Mytilus edulis: one gene and its partners. Each later gene encodes a partner of the first gene's protein in a complex. Links are inferred from orthologs where the notes say so. Each region holds a gene or a part of one and is shown in the gene's direction. Other genes may lie near its edges.

What was found.
Region 2: 116 kDa U5 small nuclear ribonucleoprotein component-like (region 1) and crooked neck-like protein 1 share a complex: the UniProt entries of both Homo sapiens proteins name them as parts of the minor spliceosome. The link is inferred for Mytilus edulis from reciprocal best matches to the Homo sapiens genes EFTUD2 and CRNKL1.
Region 3: 116 kDa U5 small nuclear ribonucleoprotein component-like (region 1) and G-patch domain and KOW motifs-containing protein-like share a complex: the UniProt entries of both Homo sapiens proteins name them as parts of the minor spliceosome. The link is inferred for Mytilus edulis from reciprocal best matches to the Homo sapiens genes EFTUD2 and GPKOW.

Annotation. Positions count from the first base shown.
Region 1 is NC_092345.1:82,431,457-82,441,794, reverse strand, and holds the start of 116 kDa U5 small nuclear ribonucleoprotein component-like, read left to right. Parts: upstream 1-5,611; 5' UTR 5,612-5,758; intron 5,759-9,696; 5' UTR 9,697-9,715; coding exon 9,716-9,841; intron 9,842-10,338. Other genes in the region: nuclease EXOG, mitochondrial-like, read right to left, coding at 485-624, 1,256-1,417, 5,452-5,548. UniProt on the Homo sapiens protein: Required for pre-mRNA splicing as component of the spliceosome, including pre-catalytic, catalytic and post-catalytic spliceosomal complexes. Component of the U5 snRNP and the U4/U6-U5 tri-snRNP complex, a building block of the spliceosome.
Region 2 is NC_092346.1:35,663,892-35,674,229, reverse strand, and holds the start of crooked neck-like protein 1, read left to right. Parts: upstream 1-4,365; 5' UTR 4,366-4,470; coding exon 4,471-4,521; intron 4,522-7,063; coding exon 7,064-7,153; intron 7,154-7,544; coding exon 7,545-7,607; intron 7,608-7,978; coding exon 7,979-8,070; intron 8,071-8,856; coding exon 8,857-8,940; intron 8,941-9,841; coding exon 9,842-9,960; intron 9,961-10,338. Other genes in the region: cilia- and flagella-associated protein 61-like, read right to left, coding at 759-882, 1,781-2,076, 2,605-2,747. UniProt on the Homo sapiens protein: Involved in pre-mRNA splicing process. As a component of the minor spliceosome, involved in the splicing of U12-type introns in pre-mRNAs.
Region 3 is NC_092344.1:15,301,035-15,311,372, reverse strand, and holds the start of G-patch domain and KOW motifs-containing protein-like, read left to right. Parts: upstream 1-3,133; 5' UTR 3,134-3,211; coding exon 3,212-3,354; intron 3,355-4,780; coding exon 4,781-4,893; intron 4,894-5,862; coding exon 5,863-6,002; intron 6,003-6,615; coding exon 6,616-6,719; intron 6,720-7,189; coding exon 7,190-7,379; intron 7,380-8,673; coding exon 8,674-8,806; intron 8,807-10,338. UniProt on the Homo sapiens protein: RNA-binding protein involved in pre-mRNA splicing. As a component of the minor spliceosome, involved in the splicing of U12-type introns in pre-mRNAs.

The DNA of each region.
Region 1 (10,338 bases):
AAGCATATTCACCGTGCAAAAAATCATATGCTTTTGCGTGTATATATATATATAAATATATTAAAATCGTATGATGCACAATTGGTTTTTTCCAAATAATTGTCATAACATACATTTTTCTCTGTATACTCTCTTGGAATATTGAATAAAACAATTACTGTCTTTTGTTTCCGTAAATAGGTGGTTTAATTGACTTTTGGAAAACTGATATTCACCTCAGCCATTTGCCTCAGTAAATATCAGCTTTTCAAAAGTCAATAAAACCCTATCTTTTCCTCATCAAAAGACAGTAATTGTATAATATTCATAAAAACTTGGATTGATTCTATACATACCTGTACTCAATATATATGGTAACTACACCCTAAAAACTATTTGTTACAATATTCATACTATGGAGAGTGCCCTTATTGAAATGTGTTTACTAAATTCCTAATAAATAAAAGATTATATATACAGCATGATTTAATCTATTACCACTGACCTGACTGTGTTTATTATCCCCAGCTGGGGCCATATGACCCCTAGACCATCCACTTCCTAGGTAATCAGAGTTCTCAGCACTGAACTCAGTTTGAACATTTGGATCAGATTTAAATTTGATTTTTCTTCTGTCTGCCGGTCCTGAAATCATAGAGCACTTAACTTATTTCTAATACTGTTAAGTGACATTTAAAAGATGTATCTTTATATGTGTTGTTTTTTTATGTTTCATTGAGTTGTTGTCTCATTGAAGAACATCCCACAATCACTTAAATGATTTCTGAGTTTCATTTAGTTTTGAGATAGAGGATTTATTATGAAATGACTGTAAGACCTTGAATGTTTAAACTGCAATGAAAACCAAACCAAACAAACAAATGAAAAACAAAACCACTATAAAATCTCTCTTCATTATGCATGTTATGAATTCAAATGGTATCATAACCTTACTCTGTATAGTAGTAAAAGATTAACTACTGGTGTCATTTTTAAATAAATAAAATCAATAAGTGCAGATCATCTTTTAAATAAAAAAAATACTATTTATTCAAGACTGACAAAATTATAAAATTTCTCAAAAATTGCAGGGGAATAGAAATTCTTAAAAACTGCAATTATTCAAAAAAAATAATTATGGAACAATAGGAGGAAAAAGTGTGTGTATACATTATGACCAGAAAATGATCTCTTAATACAAATTCAATTTGATTATTCATGTCACCAAGGTTACAGACATTTTGAATTATAAGGCTCACATAATGTTAATTATTACCATCAATATTTCTCTTGGTGATATACTCAGCAACCCAAACAGGTGTTTTCTTTGCCTGATCATATGATAAGATGTGATTATCATAAACCCTTATATCTGGCCCACGATCTGGTATGCCATACTTGAGAATAGTCTCACTTGCCCTGGTCTTTGATGATAAACCTACAATTAAAAAAAAGGGTTGCTGGCCAAATTGATCATCTTGTCTGTTCAGTTCATATAAAATGCAATAGATTTTAATTTTTCATTTCAAGAAGCAGTTATACTTTTTTTCATAAGGGGAAATAACTCAGATAATTTCCTCTTGATTTATTATTTTAATTCTATTTCTGAAAATGTACAATATAAATTACATTTTTGGTCAAGTACAAAAAAATTACTACCATAGATATATTTTTTATCAATGATTTCATACTACCCAATTTAGATTAACTTTCTACATATTAGAAATCTATTAAATAGTGATGTAATAAATGGGTTCTCTAACACTGCTTTACTGAAAATCTCATATAAGATTTTAATGTTCTCAGATGTTACAGTGAATATAAAAAGAAGTAAAACTAGTTGACTGAGAGTAATCAACAGGGATGTAAACGAAAAAGGGGACTGTAGAGCCTTCATATAGTAAAGTTATAAAATGTCTATGCATGACAAAATGTTGTACAATTCAAAAGAGAAAACCAATTGAAAATATTATTTTTTATAATAAATAACAAACAAAAAACAAACAAATAAAAAGACAGACAAACCAACAACAACCAATGAACTAGTACAGGCTCTGCACTCAGGACAAGTTTGTGAGCACTAAACTTTCTCAAAAGCTTGGGATAATGGTTTAACAGCAAAACATATAAACTATCAAAATTAGTTGTGTAAAAGATTTGACTCATCAGATCTGTAAGTTTTCTTCAAAAGAGTGGTATAGCTATAGGTGTAGACTGATGATTCCATATAAATCTGATGGACATACATTTGTAAGTTCAAGAAAACACTCATCAAATTTGTTGTCATTTTGTTTTCTTGGTGGATAGTTGTACCTATCTCATTAACAATAATACCACATCTTCTTCTTTTCTCACTGAAACATTACTATCAGTAAGGCTTAAATATAGACAATTATATTTGCACAAACTTATTTACATATTATTTACAAACCAGGTGCTCCGCAGGGCGCAGCTTTATACGACCGCAGAGGTCGAACCCTGAACAGTTGGGGCAAGTATGGACAAAACATTCTAGCGTGATACAGCTCTGAATTTGGATTGTGATCAAATTTTTGACATTACATGGGGTTTTTTTACACAAAACAAATGTCAAGATTTTACAAATTTTACAATTAAAGATTTCTTCTTCAAACTTTTTAAATCTAAAATTAAATAGTTGGAACAGCATTGGTTTCTGACACAGAATGAATGTGGTCTAATGAACTTAAAAGTTTGTTTTTGCCTTTTAGCAATTCACTATGCTGTTGAATATTAATCCTCTCAAAAAAATGTTTGAAGAAATTTTCTTTTTATTTATGAAATCTGAAATGAGAAAAATTTAACCCCCCCCCCTTTTTCACATCCCCGTTTCCTTTTTTCCAAAACTGATATCAATTCAAATTTCTAATGGAGTTTGCAACAATAACTACTCTTTTAAATACATCATAAAATATTAAAATGTAAAATAAAGTGCTTATTATCACTGAATGGTAAAGATTGGTTGGTAGTAAAAGTGAATATACATTGTTTATTGTATAAAACAATAAAAAAAACTTCATCAGCAACATTTTATATTGGCAAATTTCCAATGAAGTTATTTACATAAAGTAATGGGCAAATAAAAATAGAAAATGACATCATAGTCATGTCTGGCAAATGTCCAACATACATAATCTAAAAACATTTTAGATAAGATAAGGAAATAAGATGTAAAAAAACTGCTTGTTATCACTGAATGGTAAAGATTATTTTAATTCATCAGTTGGTAGTAAAAAGTGAATATACATTGTATATTGTATATAACAAAGATTTAAGTTGATTCTGGACAAAGAAAGATAACTCCAATTAAAAAAAAATCTTGCTATTGCACAATATTTTGCAATTAGATATTTCTTGCTTACTATTCTGGACAAAGAAAGATAACTCTAATTAAAAAAAAATTTGCTATTTCACAATATTGTGCAATTAGATATTTCTTGCCATTGCGCAATACTGTGCAATTGAAAAGACTTGCTATTGCACAATACTTAATATAATAATTTTAGATCCTGATTTGGACCAACTTGAAAACTGGGCCCATAATAAAAAATCTAAGTACATTTTTGGATTCAGCATATCAAAGAACCCCAAGATTTCAATTTTTGTTAAAATCAGACTAAGTTTAATTTTGGACCCTTTGGACTTTAGTGTAGACCAATTTGAAAACAGTACCAAAAATGAAGAATCTACATACACAGTTAGATTTGGTATATCAAAGAACCCCATTTATTCAATTTTTGATGAATCAAACAAAGTTTAATTTTGGACCCCGATTTGGACCAACTTGAAAACTGGGCCAATAATCAAGAATCTAAGTACATTTTTAGATTCAGCATATCAAAGAACCTAACTGATTGATTTTTTGTCAAAATCAAACTAAGTTTAATTTTGGACCCTTTGGACCTTAATGTAGACCAATTTGAAAACAGACCAAAAGTTAAGAATCTACATACACAGTCATGACAGTTAGATTCGGCATATCAAAGAACCCCAATTATTCAATTTTGATGAAATCAAACAAAGTTTAATTTTGGACCCTTTGGGCCCCTTATTCTGTTGGGACCAAAACTCCCAAAATCAAACCCAACCTTCCTTTTATGGTCATAAACCTTGTGTTTAAATTTCATAGATTTCTATTTACTTATACTAACGTTATGGTGCGAAAACCAAGAAAAATGCTTATTTGGGTCCCTTTTTGGCCCCTAATTCCTAAACTGTTGGGACCTAAACTCCCAAAATCAAGACCAACCTTCCTTTTGTAGTCATTAACATTGTGTTTAAATTTCATTGATTTCTATTTACTTAAACTAATGTTATTGTGCGAAAACCAAGAATAATGCTTATTTGGGCCCTTTTTTGGCCCCTAATTCCTAAACTGTTGAGACCAAAACTCCCAAAATCAATCCCAACCGTTCTTTTGTGGTCATAAACCTTGTGTCAAAATTTCATAGATTTCTATTAACTTAAACTAAAGTTATAGTGCGAAAACCAAGAAAATGCTTATTTGGGCCCTTTTTGGCCCCTAATTCCTAAAATGTTGGGACCAAAACTCCCAAAATCAATACCAACCTTCCTTTTGTGGTCATAAACCTTGTGTTAAAATTTCATAGATTTCCATTCACTTTTACTAAAGTTAGAGTGCGAAAACTAAAAGTATTCGGACGCCGGACGCCGGACGACGACGACGACGACGACGACGACGACGACGACGCCGACGACGACGACGACGACGACGACGCCGACGCCAACGTGATAGCAATATACGACGAAAATTTTTTCAAAATTTGCGGTCGTATAAAAAGCTGAGAATTGAAGATTTATATGGTAGTGACAATAGCTTTCATATAAAAAAAAAACAACCTTTAATAACTTTGTATGCCAGTATTATCATGATTATTATTAGATATAGGAGGGTGGTAATGGGGGTTCTTTAATGACAAATAATGGTAAAATTGTTGCCAAATAACGTTAATGGTAATTTTTTGTGCATGATGTTAATTAACTGTATACTTTCTTTTAGATGATAAAAAAATCGACTGATATTGATGAATCACATTATACTATTCACAAAAAAGACAGTGACGATAATTATTTGGGACCTCTGATGAATAAAGATTGAGGAAGATAAGGATATTTTGACGAATCACTGTAAAGATTGAGGAAGATAAAGATATTTTGATGAATCACTGTAAAATTTTTACCAATTTAATTTTAACGCTCACAGCAACCAAGGATTTGTATAGTAAGACTATACAAATCCTTGCAGCAACTGAAAATGACCATTTGATGCCTAACGATAAAGGGAATTACTACCCTCATGTATAGAAGACAGTATAACTGTAAGTGTAGACTCATGTGTTCAACAAAAATTTTATAGAAACTTTTACCCTAATATTTTTATACCACTGCAAAAAACTCAAATAATTCTTTATCTTTGTTTTTTAAATTCATTACTTTCTTGGTTATCATTTTCAAATAAAATTCGATAAGAGCCAATTGCTGCAAGTGTTGTGAATGTGCCTGTGATTATTCCTTTCATAAATTGTGACATTTCCGTATTCAAAGCTGATTGCTTCGTCCGTAATTGATAAAGAATTTAGAAAAAAACACTCTCGGACAGTTTCGTTTTAATACAAGCTGAAGTCTAGAGAAATCCGAAGGCCAAACGTTATTTGTACACTTCCGGTGTCGGCGTCCCACATGTATTTTTGAAATATTGTTTTATCTATTGATTCCAGTACTTTTATCTTACACTGATCAGGTATACCATTACGCAACTCAATTATTTAACAGAGTGCCGGTTAATGTGCCTTTCTGTGACCACCGTAATCAGATTGGGTCCCTACTTTTGCTTTGTTATCATTTGTACTAAAAAAAATCACTACTGTTGTGAAAAAAATTATTCATATTAAGCACAAATTTTAACATAGTGAATACAAAATAAATGTAACATGTCCTCTGTGCCACTGGAAGGATGAACATCTTGCGCACGATTTAACCTTCTGTCCAACATTAAGAGAAATCTGTATGCAATATTTCTTTCCACTCAAAGATCTTGTTACAGTATCATACAGTCATAGGTATTATTTTCCCTCACTCACTCTGAGTTACCTGTCAAAGTAGTTGAGGAACCGTAGCTGTCATGTCCTAATGATACTTTCGTTACTCTTTTCGAACCCTAAGATTGGAAGCTTATTACTATTAGACAGAAAGTATAATATTGAACCAACTGGATTCAAAAACCTTATTCCTAAGGCAGCTTTAAAAAAGTCTATGAACTTAACCAGTTACAGTGTTCTCCCCAGGCCGTTTTAGCGTCGCGGTACCGTGACGCTATATTTTTGCACCGTGATGCTATAATAATTCCCGCGACGCTATAATTATTTTGAAGATGCTATTTTATTTGTCCTCAATTTTGAACTTTCATCTATTATCGATTATTATCATAAAAATTACATCACCTTTAATTGTAATCCCTTTAAATCGGACACTAAAGGCAATTAAGGGATTAAATAGCCAGGTGTTAATTGCCCTCAGGGTGATAAATGTTTGGATGCCAATATCCCAAGCTGACACTCGTGACATGACTTATACCACGTGTCTGCCATCACCAACTTCGACATGGAAAAATGCAATCACAAAAACAATTCGAAATCTATGTTTTGTATTACAAAATTTCAAAGATTAAAACGAATTTTTTTTAAAAGGTCGTTTATATTTGCAACTCTCCAAAATATACTTTCTTTCTCTTCCTGTAATACAAGAGCGAGAATTTTGGTTTTGAGCTAAAATAAGTTTTATACTTCTTTAAAAAGTTATCATAATTGGCTTTAGTTTATGTTTAATGCATTTAATGCATTAAAAGCGTCTTATTCATTCACAATCTCTTGTCAAACAATGTTTATTCTCGGACTCATTTTCGTAAATTTTTCTACGGCCGCCATAGCACATTTTTGTGTATACTACAGATCGGAACCGGACCAGATATGAAAAAATCCGCATTTTCACAATAATGACAACAGACGGACAGTAGACAGAAAAAATATACCAATAGAGAAAACTACGCATTAATAGACTATTTGTTAGATAACTTTGTTAAAAATACATATCATTTTGATGTAAAGATAAGAAACAACAGGGACTAATTCATTGAGTGCCATGGAACAATGAATTTCATAAACATGATAAAAAAAGGTTTTTAAATTGATATTTTTTTTTACTACTTTTGCTACTTTATCTTTACTTAATATAATATAAAAAAATAGTTCATTTTGTGTAATAGATATTTAGTTTTGTATATATACAGGTTGCACTATAATGAACTATTCATTCATTTGACTTATGTGTTGGGTAACTGAAAGCACATATTTATTTTTATTTGGCACAAGAGGAAAAAAATAATTCTGTAACTATAAATGAATAAAGAAAACATAAACTGAAACAACTGTTTTTGTTGTTATAGTTTAATTGAATTCTTAGTTATGAATTGAACAATATAAACTAAAACATATAAAGGAAATAGAGCATCAACGCGACGCGACAAATGACATTACAGTGTTCTAGGATTCCCATTACCCGTTACCCGGGGTAAGTGGATTAGGACAACGGGTAAGTCATTTTTTAGCCTTTGTCACCCGGTGGTAAGTCAATTTTCAAGTTCGGGGAAGCCGAAAAACTCTTGAAATTTCCAGGTCCTCTTCAATTTTCCCATATCTGCTTTTTATTTTTATTAAATCACGAGAAAAAACTTTGATAAAAGATCGAAGATTTTGTCGATGTCTATCGGCGCTTTTATTCAAGCACTCGTTTACTAGGTGTAATCAAGCGCAAAAGAGACCACATTCTTCTCCTATCATTCTAAAAGTCGGTCACGGTGTCGGTAAAATCGGAAAATCCGGATTGATAACTGGTGCTTAAATCGGGACATAAACGATTTTTTTTTCTTGTCATCGGAGGAAAATAAACTTACAGTTGCATTTATTATAGCTCTTAATAAATGACATAGTAATAACTATAACATATTTGTCAAATTTAGTAAGAAATCGTTTTTTTTAAATTTTGTATAAAATTCAATCGTATCCGAATCCAGCTTTGTTCAGACAAACTTCACAACATATAATTTAAAGCATGTCATAAAAGTTTTTTGAGCGGCCCCCAGACCCCCGGCCATAAGGGCGACGAGCTTTAGCTCGCCGCAGCGGACGGCGCTGTCTGCATTGGTTGGCGGATTTAACTTTTAGATGTGGGTAAGTAATTTTTTTATTGATCTTACCCGTGGTAAGTCAAGGTGCCAAAAAAATCCTAGAACACTGCATTAAAAAAAAATACAGTTATTTTTTTTTACGCAAAATGTGATGCTATCCAAAATTTCTGGGGAGAACACTGAGTTAGACGCCGTTATAACTCCAGGTCTACAACACCCTTCCCTCTTTTCTTTTTTTGGCTGCACATCATCCATTTGACCTCACAGGTCCGTTACTGTACAACTCAGCAGTCACTCTGAAACCCTCTGATCAGTTCCCTGCATGTCAGTCAGACATGTATCAGTCATCCAATGACCTGTCAAACATAATAACCATATCAAACTGCCAGACACTTACATACAGTTGTGCACACTAGTAGATGCTCGCAATGCCAATATTGTGAAAATCTATGGATGGTACCAACAGTATGTCAGGGATTTCAAAGAATTGCTCTAACCTATTGAGCTTAAGGAGATCTTTCCTAACTAATCCAGTTAGATGCCCACATATCTCCAGGTCTACATGGTCTTCAACAGTATACAGTGCTCCTATTTTATAAGAACTTCTTTTTAACTACACAAAAATGCATCTTAGAATCATTTATCATAATATGAGGCAGGCATAATCATTACCTGTGAAAGGGGACTGTCTGTCTGTATGAATTAAATTTTTTTTTAATTCAAACATATTTTAATTTCAAAACAGAAATACTGTAACGTTTCTGATTTTGGTTCTGTTGTTAGGGATTTTAGTTGTGACGTTCTTTAACTTAGGATGTCATATGCAATGTAAACAAAGAAAGGCTATATGATCAGGTAACGTTTTTTCATATCAAAGAATTATTAAAAATGAAATTGGTATTGCATTCCTTCCTATTTTATACTAGACTGATAAATATATATTTTACTCAAAGTTTCATGCAAACGAGACCGGAAAACAAATGGAAAAAGGAAGTACATTGTGGATTTCTGTGCAGATGCGGGAATTAAAAAAAGTGACGAAAAATGAGTTAACGATTTTGAGTTCCCTGATAATTATTTTTTTGATTTTTTTTGGATTGATTTTTGTACTGTTATAGGGAACTTTGTCCCCTTTTAAATCTTGAAATAAAAATGACAGACAGCAACCAAGGATATCATATATTTAACAGGCTCCAGGCATTGGACTGGCACATATGTTTATGAGTTCTCAACTACATTTGTATTTTGGTTTCCTAGGACAGTGGTCATGGTGGTATAACAACACAATATAACAGCATTCTGTAAAATCCCATAGAAAATGGCTTGCCTAGATCAGCATGAAGCAGAATAAAAATCTTATTAACATAAAGACTAAAAAATATATCTAAAAATACTGGCAGTTACGTAACATACTGAAAGCTACTTTATATTACTGAATTAAATATGTTTTGATATAAAAACACTTTCAAATGTTGGTTTTTTTCTGCATTTTACAGATTTTTGTCCTGATTTACGATGGATCAGGAACTGTATGATGAGTTTGGTAATTATGTAGGTCCTGAATTAGATAGTGATGAGGAAGATGAGGATGCAGATGAAGATCAGAACAGAGAGGATGCCATGGCTGAATATGCAGGGGAAGTAAGTTCATTTAAAATGTAAACAACAGGAAAATATTGGTGTTTAAAAATTTCTTCACAACATTTGCACAAGGGAAAAGTACATTTTGTATTCAATAATTTAAAAAAACAAACTTTGCTCCCCTAAACAGCAACAGGTATGACATTTGTTTATACTTCACAAACCACCAGAGTGAATTTAGTGTTTGCCATTACATTTAAACCTGAGTTGATGTATTGTGTCCTGGTTAAATTCACATTTATTTAGTTTTAATAACAATTTAGTCTATATTGTGATAAGTTGCAGTTCGTCAACCAGAAATCTCTTTTCATTTGGAAATGTTTTTAACTTTAAGTCATGTATTGTCAAAGAAAAAAGAGCACAACTTGACATAAATGTGTTGGAGGTTTAATATACAAACTGTACCAAAAAAGTAGTTTTAAAATATTCATATTGAATTTTCCTTAATTAATAATCATGAAAATTTGTCAATCCATTTTTTGCATAACAATCAAAAT
Region 2 (10,338 bases), on another chromosome or scaffold:
CAAAAGTCTTCAGATAGACTGCGGCCCGCTACCAGGGCAGTCACTCCTGATACCAAGGAAACTTACCAAAGGCAAAGCAAACCAAAAGTGCCGCAGTCGATGCAATACATGTACCTTTGCATCCCCGTTGGATAAATGGACCAAACCATAAGTGACCTAGATGTTTTACTGCGTTTACTACGATGTTGACAAACGATTAACGTACCGAAAAGGGGGGTCTCTGTATATTTTATAAACTGTTCTGTTGGGTTTTCATGTGATTTATACTTGGAATAGTATTGAATGTTTTGTATATAATAAATTGTGAAGCTTTATTAATCTTGACATGTTATCTGTTGTACATGTAATTAGTAAGTCAATGTTAATGAGTTTCTGTGCGGCTACCATATTTAGACCAGTGCCTTAACTGTTTTGCCTGCTACGCTACCATAGTCTTGACCATTTTACCAGCTACGCTACCAGTATAACTTAGTTTGTAACTCGACACCAGAGTGGACAGATCTATATCAGAATTTACCAAGAATATAGTAACCAGGGTTATAACCTCATATAAATACCTTTACTTTTGGGACACCCCCGTCCCGTAACAATATGACTGTTTCTATTTCAATCACACTGTAAAAGGTAGTGTTTAGAATTAATAAGACTTGTTTAGGACAAAAACAATAGAAGACAAATAAAACTGACCCAATAATATCTAACTATTTTTTTACAAAATGAAAATATCATCCCCCGACAACATGATTTCTACTACATACGTTGCCTTTCTGACATGTAGAACAGGAACATGGTTATGTCTGTAGCAAGCAAACAGTGCTCCTTGTGTACTGCTAACACCCTCTCTTTTAGGTAACTGCTGGAATACACCGTCAAGTGAAGCATCTGCAATAGAATAGAGGTGAAAACATGATATTACACCAAATTAATTGTAGATTCACTATTGAAAGAGTATTGAATAACTATCCTGAAATTTATTGTTACCTATGTTGAATTCAATCAATGACTCTTAAATTGAATTAAAAGAGAGATTAAAGAACATGTACATGTTCTTTAATTGTAATTCACTGTTTTCATGATAAAGTCCCTCAAACAGAATCCGATAGCTATCAAAATCAAACTTGGGCAAGATGAAATATTTATACAATTTTTTTTTTAAACCTTTTTAGACAAATAATCAATTTGTAGCTGAAAGATAAATTCAAGAAGAATGCAATATTTAGATGCACCATTAAGTGATAAAAAATATCAAAATTCACATCAAGTATTATTTCCATGGACATCAAGAGGCTACATATCAGTTCCAATGATTAAAGAACAAGAATGCGTCCCCAGTACATGAATGCCGCATCCACACTATCATTTTTTTTATGTTCAGTGGACTGTGAAAATGGGAAAAAATCTCCAATTTGACATTAAAATTTGAAAGATCATATCATATGGAACATGTGTACTAAGTTTCAAGTGGATTGAACTTCAACTTCACCAAAAAACTACCTCGACCAAAAACTTTAATCTGAAGCAGGACAGATGGAAGAATGAACTGACGAAGGAACAGACAAACGCACAGACCAGAAAACATAATGCCCATAAATGGGGCAAAAAAATTGTATTTTGGTGGATACTTGTTTTTAAAGTTTGAATCAATTCTGCATACAAGCATACAGAATTTATTTTTGATAAGTGTCTCACATCTTCTATCTAGTAAATGCATGAAAATAAGTACTCCATGAAAATTTGTAAACCCTGACATTGTGACACAGTATTTTATTAAATAACATACCAGGATAAGCTTTCATTGGTACATTCAGGAATAAATAATGTAAGTCAGGAACGGCATTAAATGCAGTACGGATTATCTCCCTTGCACAACCACTGGCATATTCTTTCTTTGCAACAAAATAATGCATGTACAAGGAATTTAGAGCTGATGTTTTTGGAGTATCAAACATCTTGTGGAACCACTCCTCCCATGTTGATGGATCAACACCTTCAATGTTGGGATAATCAAAGAATGCAGCATGGCCAAGGATTTCTTCTTTGTCGTTACATAGAGTGACCGCTAACACAGCTTTCTCTCTGTGAATTAATGAACAAGGATAAAATCAATAAATTGGAAAAGTTTAGAATCAAAATACACAAAATGCAATTAAATATTTTTTTTGTTTACAGAATACTCAAAAAATTTAATCCAGATTTTGGTTTTCTGTATACTATATTTGTACTGTTATATTTTTAATACATTGTAACATGGTATATGTAGCATTAGGTAAATATTTCTGACTTTTTATATCTTTCAGTAATATTTCTGACTTTTTGTCTTTGAACAAAAACAAATACATGATAACAGACATCCTGTGGTTTTTTTCCCATGCAATAGAACCTCCATGACCAGTCAGATACATGTAAGATATAAAAATATTTCATGCTGTGGCAATAATTAAAAAGGGTCAATTTTGTTGTGTATTTTTTCAATTTTGGATGTTAAATCAGGTTTTCTTGTATTTGAAATTAATAATGTCATATATGTAAAATACAATGTTTGGTACTGTTGACTATATGCATAACAATCTCTAGACTTATTTCAAACTGATTGTTATGACTTACATTAAGTTGACAACATTAACTCTTCCAAACAATTGGTCAGTTGAACTGTTCACGAGCTTGATAATGTGTGGTGCATCTAGCGATTCTGTTCTTCTAGCATTTACAACCTCTGGGGGACCATCCACAGGTGTAATTGTTGCCATGTTTTCCAATTTATGCAAATTCTAGAAACAAATTAAATCAAAAATGTATAAATTAATACTGTGATGACTGTAGCATAAATGCCAACAACCCTTTTTGCAAAATCAGAAAGAAAGAAAAAAAATGCTGTAATATGTGTTTGATCAGTAGTCCATTTTTATAAAGTTTTAAATTATTATTTATTGTAGTATTAATACATACCTGCCAAGTTTTCAAAATGACCATGGGGGTTTTGCGTGCAAGATGGCTGCCATACTTCTAAAAAACCTTCAAGGGGGCCTTCAAATACAGTGTAATGTTGTTTTTTGACTTCTTCATACTTTTATAAGCCTCAATTCATTTTAAAATTAATTGTTTTGTTAAAATTGTGGACATAATTGCTCTTGAAAAATTTCAATTTGGGAGCCTTCATGGGGGAAATCCCCCGCAAATAGTGACAGTTGACAGGTATGTAAAATAATACACTTACTGAGGATTCATTAAATTTAATGGGAACCAATGTTTGTGGATAAAGGAAAACTGGCATGTTTGATGATATTTTATTTTATTTTGTGGTTCTCCCTTACCAACATGATCAATGAAAATTGGTATCCAACAAATAATAATTACCGTACCAAAACTTGATTACAAATATATTAATCATAAAATCAATAACAAGGGTGCTAATGTGAATTGGCGCGATAGTACTTTAGAGCGAACAGAACTGGAATCGATACAACTTATCGCTATTTGTCAGCCATTACTGAAAATCACACAGGTTCCCGTAAAATCTTGACGTCATAAAACAAAATATCTGACACCACAGTGGAAAAGTGATTGTTGTATGCGTCAAAAGTTCAAGCGGCCAGGTCAGCCGGGATTAGCGATAAGGCGTATTGTACCAGCTAAAAATATGCAATTAAATTGAAAAGAACTTTTAATCGCAAAAAGGTAAAGAAAGTGTCATTAATCAATTAAAATACAAGTCTCGTCACAGAACTCTTGTATCAATGACTACACAGAACCCCTATTCAAAAAACCTGCAACTCGTAAAGGAAAAAATCTGTTAATTCTGTTTGTTGACAACATCCCCTGAAACCTGCCAAGAACTAAAACGTCAAGTTTCCTTACAAAATCGGTAAAATTTGTGAAAATACTTTATTGTTCAATCAAGTTGAAGAAGTTTATTGAGTTAAACGAGGTTGACAGGGAAATTCATGGGCAGTCATATGAGAAAACAGCTATATAATTCCAAATTTCATGTCCAACCTATCATTTGCTTAAGCGTGACATGCATAAAATGTGCCTGATTAGTAAGTGATATAAGGACTAGTTCAATTTAAAGTCTTATTTTTTAACTAAGAATTACTCAAATGCCTATTTCTCATACAGTTAGTGTGGATAATCAATATATATTCTCACTTTTTTGGATATCTCAAAGCTTTACCGCCATTGCAAAGCTGCTACTTAGCAACGATACGTTAAAAGTTTCGTATATCAACAAATATCTAATATGATTTCTTCAACAAAATAACATATAATATATTATCATATAATGTAATTTACAATCATTTTTTAAAGTAAAAGAGGGACTGCAGTGTATTTATTTCTTCTGAATATTTGTCATAAGTTTCGAACATTTCTATTTCCGTTTCCGGAAAAACAAAATTTCGATATTTGAACGTCCACACTTGCTTTGTAGTTAGTTTTATATTTAAAAGGCGCTGTTTATGTTAATTTAACAAGATGCTTGAAGTTGACGAAGATGGCAAACGCAAAATGCCTAAAGTGGCAAAGGTGACGTTCTCAAACTTTAAAAATGTTTATCCTATATTTATGACCCAACTTGGCATTTCAATTTTTATGCATTAACCAGTTTACATTTTCAATGATTTTGAGGAAATCTAGAAGGGTAAAGAACCGAATGGGTGCGAGAAAACTCGACCGGAGTAAAATTGGTCTGTCTGCAAAAAGACAACTCTAACTGTATGAAAACAAACTCTGACTGTCAAGAATTCAAATGGGACCTCCTGTCTTAAGTTTTTAATATGAGACAGGCATTACCTGTAAATGGAGAAGAAGTCTGTATTATTATATTTTTAAAATTCAATCATGTTGATAAAAGAAACGGAAATACCGTAAGGTTTCCGATATTGGTTCTGTTGTTTAGGATTTAGTTGTGACGTTATTTAAGTTATGACGTCATATAATAATGTAAACAAAGAAACGCTGTTATCAGGTAACGTTTTTTCATATCTGACAACAATTATTAAAAGTGATTGGATGTTGAATTCCTTCCTATATTTGTTGATATGTTGATAAATATACATTTTATTCAGTCTCATGCAAACAAGACCGACTGGAAAACATTTGTGCGCAGATGCAGACCAGAAAAGGAAGTATATCTGAAAAAAATTTAACGATATTGAGTTCATTACAGTGTAGGACAGTCAGGCCAGCCAAAGGCTGACCGGATTTTTTTTTTTGGGCGAGTGTAAAAATAACTTCACAGGCCCAAAATGCATATTGGTAGCCCAATTATTTTACTCGATTTTTTTTTACCCGTTGAGCCTTAAAAAATGACAAAAAAGCAATATAAAAACGGTAGATGTTCTCAATTCCTCAATTAAACCTTCCTGATACATAACCCTAAAAAAATCATTCCCGTAGTCTTCATTGTCACTAAAATTCAGCATCACTGTTCAGTGCCTAATTTAGGATTTTGGAGAGGAAGAAGTGACTTCTCATTCCAAGAGAGAGAGGAGAGAGGCGAAGTTCCAATGCCGTTTCGGTTGCATAGTGATTTCGTGTTATCACTGGGGAAATATTGCTGCTGCGTTTAAAATTAAACAAGTTTATGCGAAATAATCTAAAAATAGCACGGGGAATTTCTGCTATAGATATTCTATTCCGTCATGCAGTCATTTCAACAGAGGTCTCCAAAGTGTCAATGCAAAACAACATAAAAAGACATTTTACATATATTTTATAAGCGAATTATTTTCTTATGTCACTGCCACATGCACTTGTTTCTGTCCTTGGGGGGTTTAACTATCCACATTCGTATGAAAAACATTTTGACAGCTTCTTGGATGTTTCCGTGTTTGCCGGTTTCCTTTCATAATTCCCATTTCCCTTGTTTGGTTAAGTGGGTCAGATGAGGTTTTACTGTCAATGACTGTCGCTAGCCTATATAAAACACCAATAGTTTAGCGACCATCATTGTCAGTAAAATTATTTTTGACCCACTATTAACAAGCACATTATCACGATGCGTTTGTAAATGCTATATTGATATTTTGATGCACTTGCACGTTTTAACGATGTGAACAGAGGATTTCCGAAAATGGGTGTTCCGAAGTTGAGGTGGTTTATTATAGGAGTAAACTACGATTTTGAGAATGATATACACTCGCCCAATGATTTATTTTTGGGCCAGTTACTATTCATCTTGACAATTTCTAATCGCCCAATCAAGGTGCTGGTCCATTGGCGACCAGGCGACTGGCTGTGTCCAACACTGTCATTAGCATGATTAGTAGAATGAAAAATTCTGGAAATATTCCCGATTTTTTTTTTTTTTTTTATTGATTTTTCTACCGTAATTGGGGACTTCGTCCCCATATAATAATATGAGGCAGGCATTACCTGTGAAAGGGAACGAAGTCTGTATCAATTTTTTTAATTTTACGTAACGTTTCAGATGTTGATTTTGTTGTTAGGAATACTCGAAGTCTCATGACAAATGAATCTGGAAAAAAAGTCAACACTTTTGAGTTCATTAAAATTATATATATTTTTTTTATTTATTTTTTCTACTGTTATAGGGGAATTCGTCCCCTTATTATAGACAGATGTTACCTGTGAAAGGGGACAAAGTCATTCATATTTTAAATTTAGAACCTGTTTAATAAAAGGGGACGACATAGTCTGAATACTTTGTTTTTTAATAGTCCAGCATATTTTGCTTTCAAACTCTTAAAACAGAAACGGAAATATGGAAACTTTTCCAACGTTGGTCCTGTTGTAAGGGATTTAAGTTGTGACATCATTTTCAATGTAAACAAAGAAACACTCATCAGGTAACATTATTTTATTTTTCATATCAAACACTTATCAAACAAACACCAAATTAGATGGAAACAATATGATACTCCTTCCAATTTTACAAGTTATCACAAAAAAAACGAGAAGAAAAAAAGAGATTTCTGGGAAAATGTGGAAAAATGAAAAAAGTCTGAAAATTGAAAGTTAACGATTTTGAGTTCATCATGTTCATTAGTAGTTCAATTTTTTTTTTAAACTACTGTATATTGACTTTCATTCTCTTTGTTTGAAGGTTAAGAACAAGATGCCAGCACCAGTCCAGATTACTGCAGAACAGTTACTCAGAGAGGCCAAAGAGAGGGAATTGGAGCTTGTACCTCCAGTATGTTACTCTATGTTATTCAAAAAAATCATAGGGGTTCCTAAAAGTTTTCAATTTCATTAAAATTTTACCAACAGCTTTTTATTTAAATCAGATGTTGAAAAAAATATATCCTTTGTTTAAATCACCTGATTTGAGATTTTGTAAACTTTGCAATATTGGTTTCAGTACCTAATAGATTTAAAAGATGCTCTTGAATGATAAAGTATAACTTGATCGTGTCTACGTTTGTATATGGCTCTAGCTATAGCTGGTATTTTTTGTTAACTCCTTTTGAATTTTAACAAGTATCAATTTGATTTGATTTAATTAGTTAGTCATTTTCAATATATTGAGAAAGGTCACATTAACATGATAACAATACTGATATAAGCAAACTTTTATATTAAAGCCTCCAAAACAGAAGATATCAGATCCAGATGAATTAGCAGCTTATAAAATGAGGAAAAGAAAAGTGAGTACAAATCTATATATGATTGCTTTAAGGACTATGAGATTCTAGCAATTTCATGCATATTTGTCTTTTGAGCCCAATCCTATATTTCAAATTTCTACCTTCTAATAGATTTCTTTTAGAATTATAATTATAAATTAGTTTTACCCTATATAAACAAGATGCTGTTTAGAAAATGTTGACTATGTCAGGATGCTTTTTGAAAATTTCTGATACATGTACTGTGAATTCATTAATGTTTGTTTTAAGGGAGGAGGGTTATGACTCACTGAAAAAAAGGGATAAAATCTTTATTTTGAATGACTTTTAATTACATGTATATACATTCTTTGTATGCTTTTTTAGCTTGCTTATATTATTTTTTATGATAGGCATCTGAGGATAACATAAGGAAGAATAGAACAGTCATGATAAATTGGATTAAATATGCACAGTGGGAAGATTCACAACAAGAAGTTCAAAGGTAATTAATCTTAACTAATAAAATAACTTTATGGTTGCATAGTAAGGTACACATACAAATGACATATTGGTGGAATCTGTGCCAAAATCAAACTAAAGACTATAAAATTGGTCCTGCTGCTTTCTCTTAAGTTCACATTATAAGTAAGTTAGTAAGCAGGATTGAAGCTAAAATTTTGAGGTCTATAGTCACTTTTGCTTGCTACTGAAAAACTTACCTTTTCGGGAAACAACTTGTATGGGCACAAAAAACAACAATAACAAAACATGTTTAATGTGTTCTCCCAACTGTGTTTTCAGCTATTCATTTGTATTGTTTATAAAATATCCATTTCACATTATAAAAAATTACTTGTTGACAGCTATTATTGTTTAAATAGTTACTGTTTCCATTAAAATAGAGTTGCTAGTCATCTTTTAAGTATGTTTTATCTGAGACAACTCACCTTTCAATACCCTTAAGGGTTCTCAGCAGTGTGAGTAAATTTTCCTTTCTTAGCTGAAGTTCTGGATGTGGTTTATAGAATAGGAGCCTTTGACCATCATGTTAATGTGATACTATGTTGATTGAATGTAAGATATCTGAAATGATTTTTAAAATATATTCAATAGGAAATAAAATTTCATAAAATTGACACTGGAAACAATAACAAGTTTAAAAAAGACAACAATCTGACCAAATAGCAGAAAACAGACAAAAGCAACCAATGGGTCTCCAATGCAGTCTACCATTATAATAATGCAGTTTTGCTATGTGGAAAATAATTTTGTTTACTTAATTTTTCAGAGCCAGATCAGTTTGGGAAAGAGCATTAGATGTTGACCATAGGAACATAACAATATGGCTAAAATATGCTGAAATGGAAATGAGGTATTATTTACATATGAATTACAAATAAATACCTTGTTTTTAACCCAAAAAACATATTAGAACAGCTGATTAATTGCAATGGCCCTATAAAATAGTTTTAAGGTTAATTGTAAGTTCCCGAAATACATATATACTGTTATAAAAAAAATGAAATTTAATTATCAATGAATTATTTTTCTTTATACTGCAATCAGCTATTTTACTATACAGATAAAGCTATACGTATAAACGTTTGCTTTTTACGTCAATGACCTCAACTAACCTATAAGCCCCACCTACTTACTGGAACTACCACTGTTTCATCAACAAGTCACAACCATAATAACGTGTAGTAACATTGGTCAAACTTTTATGAATTTAAACTTGTTATGTCTTCAAATTGGTAATTTATATACCATGTTTATAAAATGTTATTAATTAAGTTCATTTTCTCTTTCTAATTCCTTAAAATGTCAATGTCTTACCGCCTGGATTACGCTCAAAGGGAAATACCCCAAAATGGTACCCCATGAGGGAAATTCCAAAAACTTTTTTTTAACAATATTTGTAACATATTTTTTTTACCTTTTTGAAATTTTTTTATCGATTTCAGTATAAAGACAATATACGTACAGTGTCTTGAAATATGAAATTTATTTGTATTCGGCACGAAACAGGTACAACCTCGCATTTCCCCCGTTTCTAAGCCTCATACAAATAAATTTCATATTTCAAGACACTATACGTACAATGTATGTATATTGTCTCAATCTATCCCAAAAAAAAATTTTGCACTAAATAACAAATATCTAAAGAAATGTCTCTGCAATAAGCACATAGTTATATGATAACTTCATACATGTTATCTTTTCTTTGTACATGTAGATGTTGAGAAACTTTAAAGATTATATCTATTTTTCAGAAATCGTCAGATAAACCATGCTAGAAACATCTGGGATAGAGCACTGACGATATTACCCAGAGCAAATCAGTTCTGGTATAAGTATACTTATATGGAAGAAATGTTAGGTAACATTGCTGGTAAGTCTATATTTTCTACTTTTTATTATAAAACAGACATTTTTTGTGATCATATGATCATGAGTTTTTCCATTGCAGTAACTGCTGTTGTGGCCACTTTGATATAGTATTTGGAAGTTGGTTAAATATTTGCATGAATTAATCACTATGCATCATTAAGAACAAAGTAAAGTTATTGTGAACTTGTTTATTTTTAATAGAAAAGTTATATGGGTACAATACATAACGTAGTTTGAATGGAAGGAGATGTTTAGTGTATGGCAACAAAACAGCAACCCAGCAACATATTCTGAATTATCAGTTGCAAGTGGCAATTTTGATAGAATTATTTGTGTGCAGTCTTTCCTGAAATCACATTAGTTTATCTTAAAATTGAGA
Region 3 (10,338 bases), on another chromosome or scaffold:
ATATACTACGTATATAATCTCCGACAAAGTAGTCAAAACATTTACTAAATTTTATCATGCATCGGTATAAGGACATCATTCGTAAATATAGCTCAACATGCAGAATTCTTATACGTTCAGGTATTTCACATCCAATTTTTTATGGAAATATTCTTTATAAAGCACAAAAATGTCAGTATTCACCTCAGAAACTAACAAAACCTTTAAATAGACTTATCAAGAAGGGATATAGTTACGATACTGTTGTCAGGTCACTAAAGATTGCTTATTTTGGCGTTAATATTGATTCACTTATAGGGTCTTTGCATCGGAACTAAACACATTTATTAAAAAACCAGTTGTTGGCATGACACGGGTTATGTTCTTCTCATGTATGTTATGATGGTATGATACTAAACCCCTAACGGGAAGGAATGTGCCTGATATTCATATGATGAAATCATAATCTTTCAATCAGTTTAATTGAAGTCTGGAGCTGGCATGTCAGTTGACTGCTAGTAGTCTGTTGTTATTAATGTATTATTGTCATTTTGTTTATTTTCTTTGGTTACATCTTCTGACATCAGACTCGGACTTCTCTTGAATTGAATTTTAAATGTGCGTATTGTTATGCATTTACTTTTCTACATTGGCTACATTGGTATAGGGGGAGGGTTGAGATCTCATAAACATGTTTAACCCCGCCGCATTTTTGCGCCTGTCCCAAGTCAGGAGCCTCTGGCCTTTGTTAATCTTGTATTTTTTGAAATTTTAGTTTCTTGTGTACAATTCGGAAATTAGTATGGCGTTCATTATCACTGAACTAGTATATATTTGTTTAGGGGCCAGCTGAAGGACGCCTCCGGGTGCGGGAATGTCTCGCTACATTGAAGACCTGTTAGTGACCTTCTGCTGTTGTTTTTTTCTATGGTCGGGTTGTTGTCTCTTTGACACATTTCCCATTTCCATTCTCAATTTTATTATAATCAATACTGACAAAAAAAGTATCCTTTTCGGAAATAAATTTTACAAATAAAAATAAAAACACAAAGGAGAAACTACATTTTGTGATGATCATTTTACAAGAGAAGATAATTTTAATATTACGAGATTAAGTTAGTTTTAGAGAGTGACACATCAGTAGGTAACTGAGGGTGTAGTATCACCAAGAATTTGGCAATCCGATGACAAGCAATGTAGGTGCCCCTATTCAGTGCAGAATTATTCCCAACATTGTTATTTGACAATCGATGACAATAGGTGAATAAAAAGATGAGCATTGAAATATAAAAACTAATCTTACAGAAAAAGATCCAATTGTCAAGGTTTTTTTTCGCGGTGGGAATGGGTTAAATTATTATAAGATTTGTGGATTATATATATGCAAGACCCCATTCTAAAGTAAGGGAACATAAATTGAAACATAAAAAAGTTATACAAAATTCGTTAAACATAACAACTACAAAAAGAGATATTTTTTTACTTTTTCATACACTGTATTGGTACATGTAGAATTTTATTTCGGCTTGTATACACGGTGGAGAAGAGCGCTGTTGTTAATGGAGATGTTCCTGGTGAGCGATTTCAACTGATTGCTCTACAGAATCTGTATGCGCAACTTTATCTGGCAGTTGGTTCTAGTATATGGTTGTTTCACTAAAAATAAGAATGTTTTTATTGACTATTGTGGCATATTGTTGTCTGGCACTTTAAGCCCCAGTGGTGGATCCAGAAATTTTCATAAGTGGGGGCCCACTGGCTGCCTAAGAGGGGACCCGATTTCGTAACGCCTCAGTGATTCCCTATATAAGCAACCAAATTTTCTCAGTCTCAAAAGGGGGGGGGGCAGGGCTAGTTTGTGTTGTTTATTATGTGCCGTCACAGTCGATCATATTGTCTGTTTCACAATTTTATTATATTTTGGTTTTGATTATTCTTTTCGATTTTGCTGGTGTGACAAAATTGTCGGCTGGCAGTTCCGACACCAGATTCTCAACCATCTTGAATATCAGGATCAGACGGAGACTGTGTCTTCGTTCCTCCAGTGTCTCAATTTCAAACTGGCGTCTCATGTAGGAGATGGAACCGGTTCTCGACTCCTGTAGTTTTTCTTAATGAATCGTATGCCTCTGTTTTGTATACATTCCAATTTGTTTACTTGTATATCCGCTTGCATGTATATTTTCCAGGCTAGGCTGCTTTTCTACATGCTTCTAGTATCTTTCTCAATATAAAAAGAAGATGTGGTATGATTGCCAATGAGACAACTATTCACAAGTTCCTCCTAAGTTAGCCCAAGGTGACTTTGCATATAAATGATCTAGAATTAAAAATAATACAAGACCATCTTTATTGTCTTAATTTCGTTTTGGAGTCAACTCAGTGACCGCCAAGTATTTATAAATCCGGTTGGAACTCCTTCTGCTGTTCTGTAGCCATCACGGTGAATTATGAATTTTTCAAATTGCAGTAGTATCGAAACAGTCAAAATATTGAATGATAGAGATGGACCATTTTGTACATATACCAAGGGGAAACTTCGTGCAAAGCAATATTATTTATTGTTTTGTTGCATTTAATAGAAAAAAATGGATTTTTGTAGAAAATCCTCAAACTTTATAAAAGAGATTTTTGTAATAAAATTTTCAAAATAGATTTTATACTCACTTGTTTTTCTATGATGTGCTAGCATTTTTTTTTACAAAAAGTCCTGAACTACTTAATTCCAAAAAAAAAAACTCGTGCTGGGTCACTAAAGTCGAGCGCACCCTAAGGTGTACTTGAATTGGTCTATACTTATATTTGTTTTAACCAATATCTAAATTTATAAACTTGTTATAAGGAAATCATTGCTAGCACTGCATGCAATAATCCTCTATCTATCAAGCACCGAATTGCCAAATGTAAGAGAACAAGGGGGAAGGCTGTGGATTTTCTCAGTACAAAATTTCCATATGTTTAGCATAGAATGATCGAACAGATGGGTACATAATCCTAACTAATGACATGTGCAATACATAAATCAGATATTGATTGGATAGCTCGAGTATCAGAAATCTTCCCTATGCAGTAATAATCTTTATTGCAAAAATACAACCAGCAGACGTATTGTTTTGAATGACTGAATTGCAATCTACTGGGACTCTCCTGTATTGAACGTACGTAAAACGTATACTTCCTGTTTATAAAATATTGAAAAGAAATCGTCGCAAGTTCACAAAATCACAAAAAAATGGAACAGAAAACAGTGTCTTTTGGATTTTCAAAAATAAAAAAGAACAAATCTTTGGGAATATCCAAAATAAGCGAAGGAGAAGTCGAAAAGAATGAAGAGGCAGAATTTGTAACCGAGGTTGACGAGAACTTTGCTAAAAGGTAACAAAAGGCTTGAACAGCCTTGAAGTTGTGTTGGGGTACCGTTCGTGTTGCTTATCGGCTTAGTCTTTATTTTTCTATGTTTTGTGTTGTGAACTATTGTTTGTCTTTTTCTTTTGTAGCCATGGCGTTGTCAGTTTATTTTTGATCTGTGAGTTTGAATGTCCCTTATGTTTCTTTCTCCCCTCTTTTGAAAAGGTGTTGTTTGAAGTGGGTCTGTATATGTATGAACATGTTGTGAATATCAATACTGTCTTTAAAACTATGGTAGTGGCAGCACTGTCAATTTGTTAATGGTGTGAAAGCAGTTTTGGAAGTTCTCAATGATGATGTGTGCTATACATAATACATGTACACTGTGGGTCTCATTGGGGTCTAAGCGCGACACGGGATTGCCCATTTTTTGTAAGCGTGACATGTGAATGTCAAATTCTTGTGCTGTGAAAACGGGAAATGAAGTCTTAGTGTCTAGCTGGGTACGGGAAATAACAAAAAATTGAGAATTGCTTACGTAAATAGCGTAAGCAGGATACGGAAATCAAACAAAATAGTAAGCGGGATCCGGGATCAGAACCCCCGAATGAGACTCCCTACACTCTAGTCTAATGTGTCTTCAAGTTGGTTCCACTGACTTGTTCACTGTTTTAAGAAAACAATGAATTAGGGTAAAGTTAGTTCAATTTCAAAACACTTTGTGCATGTTGTGTTGTTCCTGACTTGTTTTTCAACAATTGTCTAACAATTGCCAAATTTATTGGCAGTATTAAGTAATTGGTGTTATTGGATGTGCCTTTTTTAAATATGCATCTGGTTCTATAACAGGAACTAGCCCCTGTACTAGCCTGTACAGAAATATTCACTTCTGGCTTGTGTGCTTGTCTTTATGACCTGTAAATCCAGTTTAGTAAGGATGTTTGAGATGCAACCATCATCTTTGGATTTGTAGTCTCTTGCAGCTTGTCGATGTATTCTTTAAAGCTTTATGATGATAGTAGATGTGTAGGTGTCATATTTTATTGCTCCATACTCAAGTTATATTAGGCTATCATCTTTTAAAAATAAACTAATTGAAGAATTTTTGTCAACATTTATCATGTTGTTATGACATCAATTTCTTTTCTGGATGGTGAAATTAAATTAAAAAATAAAATTGATATTCTTTTATTTGCTGAAAACTTAATGTTCATTAACCAGTTGATTATTATTTTATTATCAATATGTTTAAACAGTCTTGTCTGGTTACAGAAAGGATATTTTTTGGCAGATTAATATTAAATAAAAACTGTTATATGTTTTTCTATTTCATGTATTTTGTCTTAAAGTCATACATCACAACACAGTACACTTGTTATTTGTAAAGCCAAATGAAAGTGGAGGGATAAAATATTCTCCATTTCCATATTAATTTATGGTTTATTTTTTGCAGCACAAAACCCAAAGCCAAAGAGTTTGTTATACCCTTAATCAAAGAAAACAAGTGGAGGGTAAATGCATCTGGAAATCAAATTGAAGACAGTGCTGTTCAGGAACTGGTAGAAGGTAAAACTAAATTTTGTAGAATGTGGTTTGCAAACATTTCTAAATTTACAACTATAAAAAAAATCTATAGATTTGGCATGATTGCTCAACAGGACATCTGTACTATACATTCCTCAATAAGGAGAAAAACTTATACCGTTTGGTTAGCTATAAACAATAAAATGCCCTTGAATGATATGTCAAAACATGAAACAAATTAAATGAAAAAAAACCAAATGAACAGATTTATTACAAGAAATTTTTACAAGAAAACAAGACTACAGACAGAAACCAACTACATCCACCAAATTTTAGCTGTCTCCTGAATTGCGGCAGGCACACAAAGAAAGTGTTGGTGTTAAACATGAGAGAGAAGGTAACAGAGCCTTCAACAGTTGGTACATGCCTATATGGACTGTCAAGCTCTTAATCACCTCCTGTTTATAGAAATGATGGGAATAAGGATACTATACTGCTAAAAGACCTGACATTAGTGCAAAGCACCTGATTTTGGATTCACACATGAATAAGTGTCCATATTACATAAGAAAATTCAACAACAGCAAAAGTGTTAAAATGAAAACATCAAACACAACTTGTGTACCTGCACAACTAACCAAATATTCTCAGAAAGACAACAGAGCAAAACTGATAACAAGTAAATCAACATCAATCAAACCAAAAAATAGTAAACCAACTATAAACTGTCCTCAGCAATCAACACCAATAAAAAAGTGACCAGATAAAGAACAACTCAGAAAACTGCAATAGTCTATATATATACAAGGACAACACATAGTTTTGCACCAATAAACGTTCACAAAAAAGACAATAGAAATTGATAGATTGTTGGTATTAATTAAACATAAACAAATATGACATATTTGTAAGGTGATTTGTTAGTTAATGAGATGTATAAATTCATTTATGCAAAATGAATCGAAGCATGTAAATTAAAGTGTATATGTATACTTAATTGACATTTTTCAGACGCAAGAAAGTTCCAGGAAGCTGAACAAGGAAAGGGGCAGACTGATATGGGATTAAATATTCCTCTTTTGATGCAAAACAAAATTCCTGAAGGTTTTGAAACAGATGATAAGTTAGATGTAGGCTTACGACCTGATGAGGTACTATAAAAAAAAATGAAATTAGGAATATTTTATAGCCGTGTACATTATACTTTCAAATAAAGATGTAGAATATTTTTCAGCTATGCATTATTGGAAACTTAATGCTTATATCAGTTATATTAATTTTGGAATAAACACAATCTAACAATTATCTGTGTGACTCTTTTGATTTGGCACACACTGATATTTTGTTCAAAGTTTATTTTGACATATTTCATAATTGTAATTTACATACATGTATATCATATTGTTGCTTTTTTGTATCTAATAGAAATAATTTCAGGATTGTTTTTTCTACAAGATAATTTTAGATTGCATATATTTATATGAAATTAATGCAAAGGATATTTTAATGAACAAATTATTCAAATTCCTTACACTTTTGAACTAAATTACCATTTTGCTGTATTGTTATACTTTTAGTCAAAAACATTTAAGTGATGTCAATTAGATATTTATCAATTACATATCTCATGTATATATCTTAATATATTTTGGAATTGTATGTGCACTGCATACATTTTTAGTGGACTTACTTTAAAAAGAAACATGTGTAAGCATAAAAGTGTTGCCAGTCACAATAATATTTTTTTCATTGGTATATTTATAGCCTGAAGAAAATGACTATGAAGAAATACCTATAGACCAGTTTGGGTTAGCTATGTTAAGAGGAATGGGATGGCAAGAAGGACAGGGTATAGGAAAAAATAATAAGTATGAGAAACAGTAGAATACTTGCTGAATCTGTTGATAATGCAAATTATCCCTATTTTACAAAACTTCCTTTAATCTTAGTTACTGATAACTTCCTTTCTCAGCACAGTAGAGTGGTTTGAAAAATTATCACTAGAAATTAAGGTTGAACTTGCCAGTGTCAATGAAATTAATAGGTCATAGGTTATATAGCAATAAACAGATTATCATTGGTCATCTCAATACATACCGGCTCAAGTGAGTAAATCAATCTTGTTCAGATGATAAACGATAATCTATAAATATTTAATAATTTTATTTTTAGAATTTCATCAGATTAAATACATGTAACAAACTAGAAGCAAATTGCTTGACTCACACGATATTCATTTCAAAATTGTAAAAGACAATTTTATAAGTAAAAATCAGATATTTACACATTTTAATATGCATATTTAAACAATTTTTGTTATTTCAATTTATTTACATAGAGCTGTAGCTCCTGTGAATGCTGTATTGAGACCAAAGGGCCTTGGCTTAGGAGCTGATAGGTCACAAGCAGCCCAGTTGAATGATTCAAAGAAAGGATCAGGAAAAAATGACAATGAGGAAGCACTAGTTTTGAAGAAGGGTGCTTACTGTGTTCTTCTAAAGGGAGCAAATAAAGATATGTATGGAATTGTAAGTTGTGTGAAAGTAGTATAAAGAAAAAAGGACAACACTTATAGACTTCATAGACTAGGCTTCAAATCTGTAAGCCATGTATTTATTATTATTCCTTAGATTAAAATACCAATTAACGTGGATTTTGTGGGATTTATATGTTCAGCAAATTACTTATTGTCTATATACATGTAGGAATGTATGAAGATATTGTTAAAACCATAAAAATATAAGTTTTCCTCAATCCATGAAAATTGATAACTGAGATTATTCCGTATTAGTATTATTTTAGTAGGTTTTTCTATATGAATTGGATTTTAAATAAAAAAGCCTATTCACCTGGAGAAAAGTGTTATTCACTGCACTAAACATCACACGCTTTTACATGTAACGTTATAGTAAACTGTTTGGTGTACAATTGGTTTGAATAAATATTTGTCATTAAATACATTGTTTTCTCTTCAGATATGGAATAAAACAATTGCTGTCTTTTGTTTCGGTAAATATGCGGTTTAATTGACTTTTGAAAAACTGATATTAACTGAGGCCTTCTGCCTCAGTGAATATCAGTTTTTCAAAAGTCAATAAAACTGCATATTTACCTGATCAAAAGACAGTAATTGTATAGTATAAGAAAATAAAAGAATCAACAGATAACAATGTGGCATGTTTTCAGATTTTAATTGAATAACTTTCACTTTGTTAAATACCATGTAGGGGCCTTGGGGCTGAATGTAAAGTAGTTACTACTGTTATCACTAGCAAGTCAACACTGAGGTTGTGAGTTGGAATATTGCTCGTGCGGGTGCACATGACTCCAATCTTAATTGACTAGGATTGTCAGTTTTCTTAACAAAGGTCATTGGTTTTATCCGGCAATCCGGCTTCCTCCACCAATAAGAACTGAAGGCCAAATAGCCTAAATTCAGTGCTTAAAAGTGGCGTTAAATACCAAAAATCAAATCAACTTAAATACCATGTAATGAAAAAGATAGGAAATTTCTTTTCAAGAGTTAATTTTCTAACCTCCATCATAGGTTTGAATATGTCTGCAACAGACTCTATGTCTTTTCTTATGTATATCACCTATGAAATGTCTTCATTTGTTGAAGTTGTTCACTTCCAGTTGATAGATAATTAGGTATGAAATAGATAAATAGCTAATATTTGGAGGAAAAAAAGTTAAAATGACTATAATATTTATACTATTTTTGCTGTTTCGTATAGATATTGATATAAACAATATAATTTGATCAAATACAATAAGTTGTATACAACTAAATTAACAATTTATTTCTCTTTTTATCAACAGATAGAAGGTTTAGATGAAGACAATGCAAGAGTGATGGTCAAGCTAACATTGGGTGGTAATATGGTCACTCAAAGTCAATACTCAATCAGACTGGTAGATAGTCATGACTATAAAAAGTACTCTAAATATCTCAGTAAGTACCATCAGAACGATGGAAAGTTACGAATAAAATTTATTATTGACATTACCATTAATTCATGGTTTTGACACAGTTTTCATGATTTGAATAAATGAGAATAAAAATGAATTCACATTTAAGTCAATTACTGAATAGCTATTTTAATAGATATAGGAATATGTGGTGTTAGTGCCAATGAGACAACTCTCCATCCAAATAACAATTTATAAAAGTAAACCATTATAGGTCAATGTACGGCCTTCAACACGGAGCCTTGGCTCACACCGAACAAAAAGCTATAAAGGGCCCCAAAATTACTAGTGTAAAACCATTTTAAGTCCAGTTTTATTTGATAACCGGATTTTCGAAGTAAAAATCGGTACTTGATTTGGGGATATTTTGCATAAAATTATCATCTTCCAAATTGAAGATACAATCTAAAACAACAAAATCAATTTCTTCTGCATTTTTGCAACAAGATGAGCAAAGGTTATTGCTCCAAGCATGTTTTTTTTCTGATTAACACCACACAATTAAAATTACTGAAATGAAGTTACTGTAAATTCAGAAATAATGTGAGGTATTCATTATTGCGAAAAATGCAAAAAAGTTGTAAACTCAATAATTTAAAGTCGCATTTTGAAATATTTTATATGAATTTAACAGATTTTTTCTCAAAATCTAAAGTCTAAAACAGGGCTCACACTACTTCAGAATTATAGGGAGAAGTGACTTCTCTTTTTGAAACTGATAGGGAGAAGTGGTGAGATTTGAAAGAGAAGTGCTCATTCGCGCGGTGCGCTACAATGTTTGGATTTTACATTAGTATAAAGGGCCATATGTAAATAATGTTCTTTTTATATTGTTCAATTCATATCTGAGTAAAAAAAATACGATTAAAGTAACATTTGAAATTAAAAGTTGTTTAAGTTTTACTAAGGTTCTTGTGAGAAACTTATTCCAACTAAATATCTAGCACTAAAAAAAAAAATATTTTAAAAAATGTAAAGAAATTACAATATATCATTATTACAATTTAATTAAAAATTATCTTGTGTATGAAATTCAGTGTTTTTCATAAAAAAATATAAAAGTTATTAAGCTGGGCCATAATATATTGAAATTAGTATAATATTATAGTCTTAGAGTTAAGCAACTTTAATCAAAAGTTTGAAACAATCCATAAAAAATATAGGGAATTATATACACCAATCAATTAGATGTAACCAAAAGTCTCTTAATGTGTGTGGAATGCGTAATTTTTCCCTTTGGGATCAATATTCTTCTGTCAGCTGTTCCGTCCGTGTGCCGTAGTAATTATTGTAAAAGTACGGATTTCGGTCATAGCTGGTCCGGTTCAGATCCGTCGTTTAGGTAGCAATACACAGTTAGGAGTTTAGTTTCGCATTTTGGCCCCTGTGGATTTTTCAAATAGGAAAGTTATTGTGTACTAAAATTCATTTTTAGACAGATGAGTGCTAATTTAGCCTTCAAAGATGGTTTATAAGAGCATCAAGATTATTTTTTACATGTTTTATGGGCTGTTT